2 linked regions of the Arabidopsis thaliana genome follow. The protein of the gene in region 1 interacts with the protein of each later gene in a pairwise test. Each region holds a gene or a part of one and is shown on either strand. Other genes may lie near its edges.

The links.
Region 2: the proteins of AT5G60750 (region 1) and YLMG2 interact in a protein complementation assay, tested with the Arabidopsis thaliana proteins (one large-scale study listed by BioGRID).

The regions. Positions count from the first base shown.
Region 1 is NC_003076.8:24,428,915-24,434,038, forward strand, and holds AT5G60750 (CAAX amino terminal protease family protein), read left to right. Parts: upstream 1-1,915; 5' UTR 1,916-2,157; coding exon 2,158-2,319; intron 2,320-2,653; coding exon 2,654-2,791; intron 2,792-3,171; coding exon 3,172-3,243; intron 3,244-3,613; coding exon 3,614-4,285; 3' UTR 4,286-4,480; downstream 4,481-5,124. Other genes in the region: ABCG28 (ABC transporter family protein), read right to left, coding at 1-21, 125-159, 245-391, 471-534, 624-899, 981-1,057, 1,129-1,355.
Region 2 is NC_003076.8:7,240,663-7,244,808, forward strand, and holds YLMG2 (YGGT family protein), read right to left. Parts: upstream 2,219-4,146; 5' UTR 2,104-2,218; coding exon 1,798-2,103; intron 1,421-1,797; coding exon 1,218-1,420; coding exon of another isoform or gene 1,214-1,217; intron 1,179-1,213; exon of another isoform or gene 935-1,178; coding exon 688-934; 3' UTR 539-687; downstream 1-538. Other genes in the region: AT5G21910 (uncharacterized protein), read left to right, coding at 127-465; PAA2 (uncharacterized protein), read left to right, coding at 2,467-3,088, 3,187-3,264, 3,637-3,734, 3,821-3,874, 3,995-4,081. UniProt on the Arabidopsis thaliana protein: Not required for the biogenesis and accumulation of native cytochrome b6 in the thylakoid membrane. Not functionally involved in the pathway for covalent binding of the c-type heme to cytochrome b6.

The sequences.
Region 1 (5,124 bases):
ACGTTGCCAACTTAAAACAATCTGCAAAATATTCATCAGAGAAAAGACACCGTAAGTTCTTTGCTTCTCCTTCTTTATCTCTGATATAACAAGTAGTGTTGTTTGGACAAAATACATCACTTACTCAGTTCTGCAGTAGAACCTGTCCTGCAGTAATGTCTGGAGAAAACAAAAGATTAGTCTACCTGATTAGAGAAAGATGAATCTTCAAAGAAAGTAATGAAAATCATTCTTAGTTAGTTACCCTTTAGTACAAGGAAGCTTGTCGATAGTGGAAGGACAAAAGGATCCAGCTGAACAGAAAACTTCACTACTACTACCAATATCAGCCCAAATATCAGCTCCACCACAAGTATGATTTGGCTGACCAGAAGGAAGCTGGTAATGATATCTGCAAAAACAATAATCCTGCAGCAATCTTACCATATGTTCAAGACAAACTTAGAAAAATGAGCAAAAACAAGACTTACGGGTCGCATAATCCTGTTGTTCTGTTCAGATTAGCTTCTGGACAATAAGCTCCCAAAGGACAAGCTTCACATCATAGTGAGGAAACAACATTAGAAATGGATCAACAACCGAATCTTTCATCGTTTCTGAATGTTTAAAGGAGGTTAACTTACGGATCATGCAGGTGATACCACGAGGGCAGAAGAAACCTGCGCAACAAGGCGCACATTGCTGAGTTCTAACAGGAACATTCTTGTCGTCTTTAAGGTCAACTTTCACATCTTTAGCAGTACGACAAGCCCATCCAGGCTCACATCCAGACATCCATGAAGATAGATTGCAGTTCTTGTTCGGTTTCAAGTAATTAGTAGCTCTCTTTGCACCTCCTAATAATCCATTGAAGTATATTCTCACTTCTGCAGCCGTACATATCCTCTGCATCATGTCACCTATTCTCAAACCAAAAACATCAGCAAAATTAAAATATTATTTCGGCTTCTGTCAATGAAACAGAGGATGTATAAATATACCTTTTGTGGTTTTACCACATGCGTTTAAGAAATCTGGCTTTGTAGAGAAATTAAAGGCTTCGTTATAATCTTCTTTTCTGAAACAAAGACAATAACATAAACATCTTCAATGCTATAGGATAAAGGTTAATGCCATTTTGAAACTAACACATTGGTAATGCAGAATCCGAGCTCTCTTTTGATGTCATCCTCAAAAACTTCGGTGAGATTCGATATTTTGTCGAAAACGAATTGGTTATAGAGACGATTAGCCGCGGGATTATCCAAGCTTCTATCTTCTTGACAAATCACTCTTTCTTGCTGAAGAATCAACACGATAAACACGAAGAACAATGGAACAAAATTCCCTGGAAAATATGAATTTCTCCTTCCCATCCCTGAAAATTTTCCAAGAAAACAACGTTGCAAAGAATTGTCTTGAGATCAGGATGGATCAAGGAGACATTAGACAATTGAAGGAGACAGAAAGAGAGAATTAGGGTTTGTTTGTTTTTTCTTTTTTTCTTTTTCTTTTTGGGGAGAGAGAGATTGTTGTGTATCTTGAGAGTCAAGAAATGGATGAGAGGAAGGCATGGCGATATATGAGGAGGAAAGAGACGAAAACAGATTTTAATTTGACCGTTTGACTTTCTCTAACTCGTGTCATGGTAATAGATTCTTCACCAAGGAATCATACTATGTAATTTACAGTTAAGGCTCTGTATTTTGATAATGTTTCTACTGTGACCTCTATAGTTTTGACATTTTTGGTGCAATATGTCAAATAGAAAAGATTTGTTTTTCTGAAAAATATAAAAATAAATTTACCAATGTGTTCTGAAGGCAATTCAGCTATAAACTATAAAAGGATAATGAACAAATTGGTTTATTCATCAATAAATTGGTTTATTTTGGTTTAAACATCGGTTTTGTTCGATGGTCCGGTTAAGACGGATTGTTAATTATTGTCGTTGAAAATTCAACAACTTTTTTTTGGTGAGAAAAACTGAAAGACACAAAATCAGTCACGAAAACCCCCAAATCCACAGATTAATTAGGGTTTTCGATTTCTCTGATGAAACTGAGAAGAATCTCTCATTAGGGTTCTTCATTCTTCAGAGGGATTTCTCATATCTCTCTCATTGAGCTTGCTAAAGCTGAAATCTGAGTTTGAAATTGGAATTCAGATTCCCATCCCATGTTGACCTCTTCTTGCTCTTCTTCGTCTCTCCTCTGCCATCGCCCAGCTCTCTCTAGTTCGCGTTCCAAGTTTAGGGTTCCTTGTCGAACTGTTTTCTCTCCTGCTCTTACCAAGATTTCCCCTTTAACTGCTTCTTCACCTTCTAAGTCCGCCAAGCATGTACGCTTCTTTCTTCTTTTCTCTGTTTATATTCAAAAGTATGAAACTTTGAATTGAAAAAGAGACTTTGGTGTTTGAATTGTGTTGAAATTGAGGAATCTTGGATTCGAATAGCACTGTGGATTCAGTTTATTTACGAAAGAGAGTGCTTTTTGATAAGGATTTGCTTGGATTACTAGTAGTTTTAGAAATTTGTGGTTTCTTGAGGTTTTAGTAATCTTGTGACTTCTTTATTGTAAGAATTCAATATTTGTATTGATGCAGTGTCAAATGGTTAATGGAAGAATCGGTAGTTTGTCTCCAATGTATTAAACTTTGGGGCTATTTTCTGCAGAAATGGAAGATTTTGTGTTTTAGAAATGAAGATTCTGCTCCCGAGAATCCGGAGCATTTTGTGCCTGAGGAATTAGTTAAGCCAGATCAAGATTCTCCATGTACAGATAAAACAGATTGGAAGGCAACTTTTCAAAAGGTAAAGATCTATGGACGTTACTGGATACTTGTACAGTTGAAGAAGAACTACCTTCTGTCTCTGTTTTAGTCTGACAAACCGGTTTTGATATTAGGGTCTAGACTCTAGAGGTTAGGACTGCAGCAGAATCTTATATTTGTCAATAAACTGTTATGTATATATCCATTATCCACTCTTTGTTTTTTTTTGTTTACTAGTGAAAAATAAGAATTTGAGGTTTCTTTTGATCTGGAAATGTGCCATACAAATTGATGAGGCTTTCTATTTACTAAATGTGATGGCAAAAATGCAAATAAGGAAACTCTCACAAAGGCTTATCGATCTTGTGTTCAACCTATTATTATTGGGTCTAAAAAGCACTTTGTTTCGTTGGTTTTCAGGCTGCAGATGCAGTTTTGAAGGCCATTGGGACTCGTTGGAAGGTACCATGGACTGTCGAGACCATTGTGCAGGTACCTACATCTTAATGTTACTTAACCTCTTTTGTATTACCGTATCATATTCATAACTTTTACACAAGAACATTATTGAAACCTATATAGAAATTTTACGGGATTATCTGATAAGAGTGTATTATGGATATTGAGTCTGTGTAAGACGTAGTTTTTGAATGTATAGACATTTAAACGTGGGCTAATATCCTTGACTTAGTAACTAGGGACTACAAGATAACATCAAGCTAATAGTATTATAGATGCTTTGGTTCATACAAAAGATGCAAAACAAACAGTAATGAGAAATGAGTTATATACCAAAGCTTTCAGTTATTTCCTTGGTTAATCCTGCGATAATCTGCCATGCCCCTAACATACACTTTTTCAGGTAATGCTTCTGTGGGTAGCCGCTTTCTGGTTCATTGGTTCATGGATGATCCCATTCATGGCTCATATATCAGGTTTCCACAAAGAATCCCTAACATTTAGAGGCCAAGCTTTGTTCAGTCTGATAACCGATGTAACAGAAGGCCTAGCCGGGATTGCTATCCTCCACCGTTGCCTCTCCATGTTCCGTCCACTTGCAAGTGATTGGTTCCGCTTTACCCTTAAAGGAAACTGGCAACTAGATGTTATCATAGGCTGTTTCATGTTCCCTTTCGTTAACCGGCTCTCCCAATTAAACCTAAACCTCTTGCCACTCCCACCAACCTCAAGTCCAGTCTCACTCTCAAGTGTCGAGCAGTCTATAATGGCTAGAGACCCTGTGGCAATGGCACTGTATGCAGTTGTAGTATCAATTTGTGCACCGGTTTGGGAAGAGATAGTGTTCAGAGGGTTCTTGTTACCGTCTCTAACTAGGTACATGCCAGTTTGGTGTGCGATTCTTGTGAGTTCGATTGCATTTGCTTTGGCACATTTCAATGTGCAGAGGATGTTACCATTGGTGTTCCTTGGAGTGGTATTGGGTTTGATATTCGCAAGGTCAAGGAACTTGTTACCTTCAATGCTGTTGCATAGCTTGTGGAACGGCTTTGTATTCATGGAATTGATGCGATGATGACTATCTTTTGTAGGTGTCTTGTTTCTTATTCTTCTTGTAATTGATTCAAAGTATGATGTTAGCTTTTATTTTTTTATAATAAATGGACAGTTCAATTGTACAAAGATAAAACCAAAAAAGGTCAAAAAGAAATTCTAATTTTACAACTTCAGAAAGTTGAATATGATTGGTCCAAAAATAAAATAAAGCCGGTTATACTTTGATTCGTCTTTTCAAAATTCTTTTTCAAGCTTTTTCTATCGATTGGACTAAGCTTATATCTTGAATTCTTGATGGATATGGAGGAAATGATACGAAACGACATCAACACACACATGTATAAACAAGAAGTGCATGTCAATAAAGTTATATGACTTTCTCAATTAAGGTGGTAATATGAATTATCCGGCCCTTGAGCTCAATTAAGGCCAACAAATTCTTCTTCGACCTCTAATTCAGTTTGCTAATACTGACAAACTCAAATCCATATCACTGTTAACTTTTTACTAAGATTTTTCCACTTATCGTTAAAGGTTGAGATATTTAAATATCTTTCTTCCTCTTTCCTACAGATAAATTCGATTAGTATTTATATAAATATATCAGGTTACACAATACACATGTTCAGGAGCTTATATTATTCTTTATACAGCCTTTTAATCCTTTTGTTAACAACTTTTTGTTTCGTAGTGAAAGATTTAAATAACTTGGTCTTCCCAATTGTTCCGAGTCTATATATTAAGTTTTGGTTAACCTTTAAGTACACTATAGAAATCACTTTTGGCTGCTATTTATTTGCATATTTCTTCTATCCAATAAGTAAACATATTTTAAAAATCTAGAGAGACTCGAGCCTC
Region 2 (4,146 bases), about 17 Mb from region 1:
CAATCCTGCAACTTGTGTTCAGATTCTTACCAAGAAACAAGCCATTTTAGTTCAGATGAACACCAACCGGGGATTGTAAAGAAAGTTACCAGTTGTTTTTATATATTTTGTACTGGCATTTTTCTGATGGAAACGGGATCATCCAGCCCGATGATGGGGAGGTTTACTACTTCCAGGAAGCTTTTGGCCATAAGCTTGTCGGTACTAGCCGTGCTCTCACCACTCTACATCGACAGATTATCAGAGGAAGATCTAGAAGAGGAAGAAGAACTCTTCAGCTTTATGTTTTCCTTCTCTCTGCTTCTCCTCTTGTTGATTTTAGCCATAGCCTTGTCCTTGTACAGTGACCCGAGCTTGACCAGGTTTGATCCTTACTGGATTCACAGGCTATGTGGTTCGTTTGGTGGATTGCTTGTCATCCTCATCCTTCTTGTTTTCGTCTTGATATGCAAAGCCTCTGGTTAGAATCTGAGCGAAAGTTGTTTTGATGCCACAAATGAAGAAGAAAAGCTCATCTCTTGCAAAATTTTTACAATATTTCTGTATGTCAGGAACACAACTCTTTTATTCATTTTCTAAAGAAAATTTATACAAAACTCAGAAATCCAAAGATACAGAGTAATAAAATTACTCGAAAGGTAGATTTTACATTTGAAGCGCAGAAAAGAGTAGATATTTTAGACAGGTTCAGGTCATAGAAGCTGAGCTCGGTCTGTGGTCTTTGTGGCTGCTCAACCTTCTCCTTCTCACCCACTTTGTCTCACTAGAAGCTGGAGAAACGGCTCCATCAGCTGACGGGAGTTCGCAAGGAAGTGCCATAGCCGAGCTGGTGAAGGCGTTGAGAACAAGGAACGCCAAAATGGGAGACAAATCTAATCCTCCAAGAGGCGGTATGAATCCCCGGAAAATGTTCAAGTATGGATCACATAAAGTGCTGAAACAATGGTAACGCATATACACATAAATAGGAATCAACTAGGGTTCCTGGGCAGATCAATCAGGGTTTAACCAATCTTTAATCCATTTAAGAGTTGGACAAAAAAGTAGTAGACAGAGTTTATCCAAAATAAATTTCCTCTAAATCAAGTAAAAAGACTACCTTCAACAATCACGAATAGGACTTCTATGATCTAGATTTTGTTTTCATGGATTGATCGAAAACTTTTAAACCTGGATAAGATATAAAATCATTGTGGCATTTGAAGGCAACGTTTTACCTGAGGGGGTTAACAATGGCAGGAGGAGCACTCGGGAACCAGGTGAGTACTAGACGGACGACAAGGATGGTGTTATATATGTTGAGGAAATTGATCAAACCATTAGCAACCACCAATCCTGCAACTGAATCTCCAGGCAGAACCGCTGCAAATCCGTGATTAGACATCGCAAACCTCACCCTTGTAGTGTTTCTCAAACGAATCTGCAATGCAACAAAATGATCTTCATCTTTAAGACATAAAGAACCCAAAACCAGAAGCAAAGGCACACAAAATCATAACCGGACTTATCCAGAAGCCAAGTTTCATCTTTACAAGAAAAGAACCAAAAAAGATCCCAACTTGAGGACATATATAACTCAGGGTTATCAATGTGAGAAGGTTTTCCAATAAATGCTAAATGATCTAGACAACAATCTACTGGCTGTTAAAGAATGACCCATTTTGTATAAATAGAAACCACAAAGATTCACCCATTACAGTAACAATCAGAGCCAAGGCAAGTTCATGAGAAACACACAATCATCTTCTTAACTTAATCCATAACATTCTTTAGCATAAGCAGGCTAAGAGAAGTTACCTCGTCGCACAAAATGTGAAATTCGGAAGATAGGCGAACCGCTTCCTGAAAGAGAGGGTTCTTAGAGGCGAGCGAATGGAGGAATCCTTTAAATTTCTCAGTAGCAGAAATCAGAGACTGATGAAAGTCTTGAATCAATTTGACGGAGTCTGCAACTGGTGGTAGAAGAAGCAAATTGGGTTTGTTCGAACGCACAAGAGGTGTTTGCGTAAATGCCGAAGAGAGCGATACGAAAAAGTTCGGTATCGGTCCTGAAGGATTGGATTTCAAGCTTTTCATAGCTGGTTCATTCGCACTCGCCTCCATTGTTGCAAAGCTCTAGATGTGTTGTAGAAGAAGAAAGCTTGAGAAGATAAAGTTACCTCCAAACAAAAAACAATATTTCAGGAAGATGACACGTGGCATCGCTGTGTCCCGGGGGCTGTAATCCTCTAGCTGAGTTAGAAGGTCTTACCTATTAAAACTTTGCGTTTTATGTCTCTCTCTGATTTTTCTGGTGACAGCCTGGCTTTTTAAAAATTCCACAAAAATGGCTAATGTTCGGATATATTCCAAATCCGACGTGTCAACGTTTAGCGATACTCTTTTTAACGAACCATACACCAGTCCACCACTAGTTTCTTACTTGTATACATCGCGTGACTATCGTCGTCTGTCTCGCCGGAGAAAATGGCGAGCAATCTTCTCCGATTTCCTCTTCCTCCGCCATCGAGTCTTCATATTCGTCCAAGTAAGTTCCTCGTGAACCGATGCTTTCCAAGACTGCGCCGTTCTCGTATCCGGCGGCACTGTTCGCGACCTTTTTTTTTAGTATCAAACTCGGTCGAGATAAGTACTCAATCATTTGAATCTACTGAATCTTCAATCGAATCTGTGAAATCCATTACGAGCGACACGCCTATTCTCCTCGATGTGAGTGGGATGATGTGTGGTGGCTGCGTCGCCCGAGTTAAATCGGTTTTGATGTCTGATGATCGAGTCGCGTCTGCTGTGGTTAACATGCTGACTGAAACCGCGGCTGTGAAGTTTAAACCGGAGGTTGAGGTGACGGCGGATACGGCAGAGAGTTTAGCTAAGAGATTGACAGAGAGTGGTTTTGAGGCTAAGAGGAGAGTCTCGGGTATGGGAGTGGCGGAGAATGTGAAGAAGTGGAAGGAGATGGTAAGTAAGAAAGAGGACTTGCTTGTTAAGAGCAGGAACCGTGTGGCGTTTGCGTGGACATTGGTGGCTCTGTGTTGCGGGTCTCACACTTCGCATATTCTTCATTCCTTGGGAATTCACATTGCTCATGGTACATTGATTATAATGCAAAAAAAATTGTGATGCTAGATGTCATTTGTTGGATAAGAGATGTAGTTTATGACTTTCTCTTGCACCTGATGTTACTAGGAGGGATTTGGGATTTGCTACACAACTCTTACGTGAAAGGTGGTTTGGCCGTTGGAGCTTTGTTGGGACCAGGAAGAGGTTTGCTTTTGTTTAAACTTTTAGTTCGAATCTATGATTCTTACCAGCTAATGCATAATAAGTTTAGTAATTAGTATCATAAGAGAGAGATGACAAAGTAGTCGTTCTTAGGCTATTGTTTAGACTTAGATAAGTGCTAGTGTTCTACTCTGATTATATAGGTGAGCTTTGTTGAATCAGTTCTTCTTATGGATAATGGTTAGCTTAATTGAGTCGTCGTTGTCATAAGAGAGAAACTCTGAATTTTCAAACTTCTTAAGTGATAGTGATGGTTCCTACTATTCTTTGCGACTTTCATAACAAAGTGGTGGTAGTGATATTTGAGGCTGTTCGGAAACACAAATGACTGAAACAGATAGATGTATATTGTAGAATTGCTGTTTGATGGCATAAAAGCTTTCGGGAAAAGATCACCTAATATGAACTCGTTAGTTGGATTGGGATCCATGGCTGCATTTTCCATCAGTTTGGTGAGTTTTTGTACCCTGTAATTTATATTTGACTGGTGAGTATCCTATTCTGAAAACCTGCAGTTTCTGCATTCTGAATTTTGCAGATCTCACTAGTTAATCCAGAACTGGAGTGGGATGCTTCCTTCTTCGATGAACCGGTGAGTTTCTCTAGCAGATCCACAAGAGGATGAAAGCTTTTTATTATTACTTCCACTACATGCAAAATACAGTTTCAATAGTAAATTTCTGATTGATAGCTCTTGTCATTTAGTATGCAGGTCATGCTGCTTGGCTTTGTGCTCCTTGGTCGTTCTTTGGAAGAAAGAGCAAAGCTTCAAGCATCTACCGATATGAATGAACTATTGGTATGTTAGACATTTCTTGATTCTCCTCCCAAGATTAACTTGTAGGCTTTTTCCTCCCTTTTTTT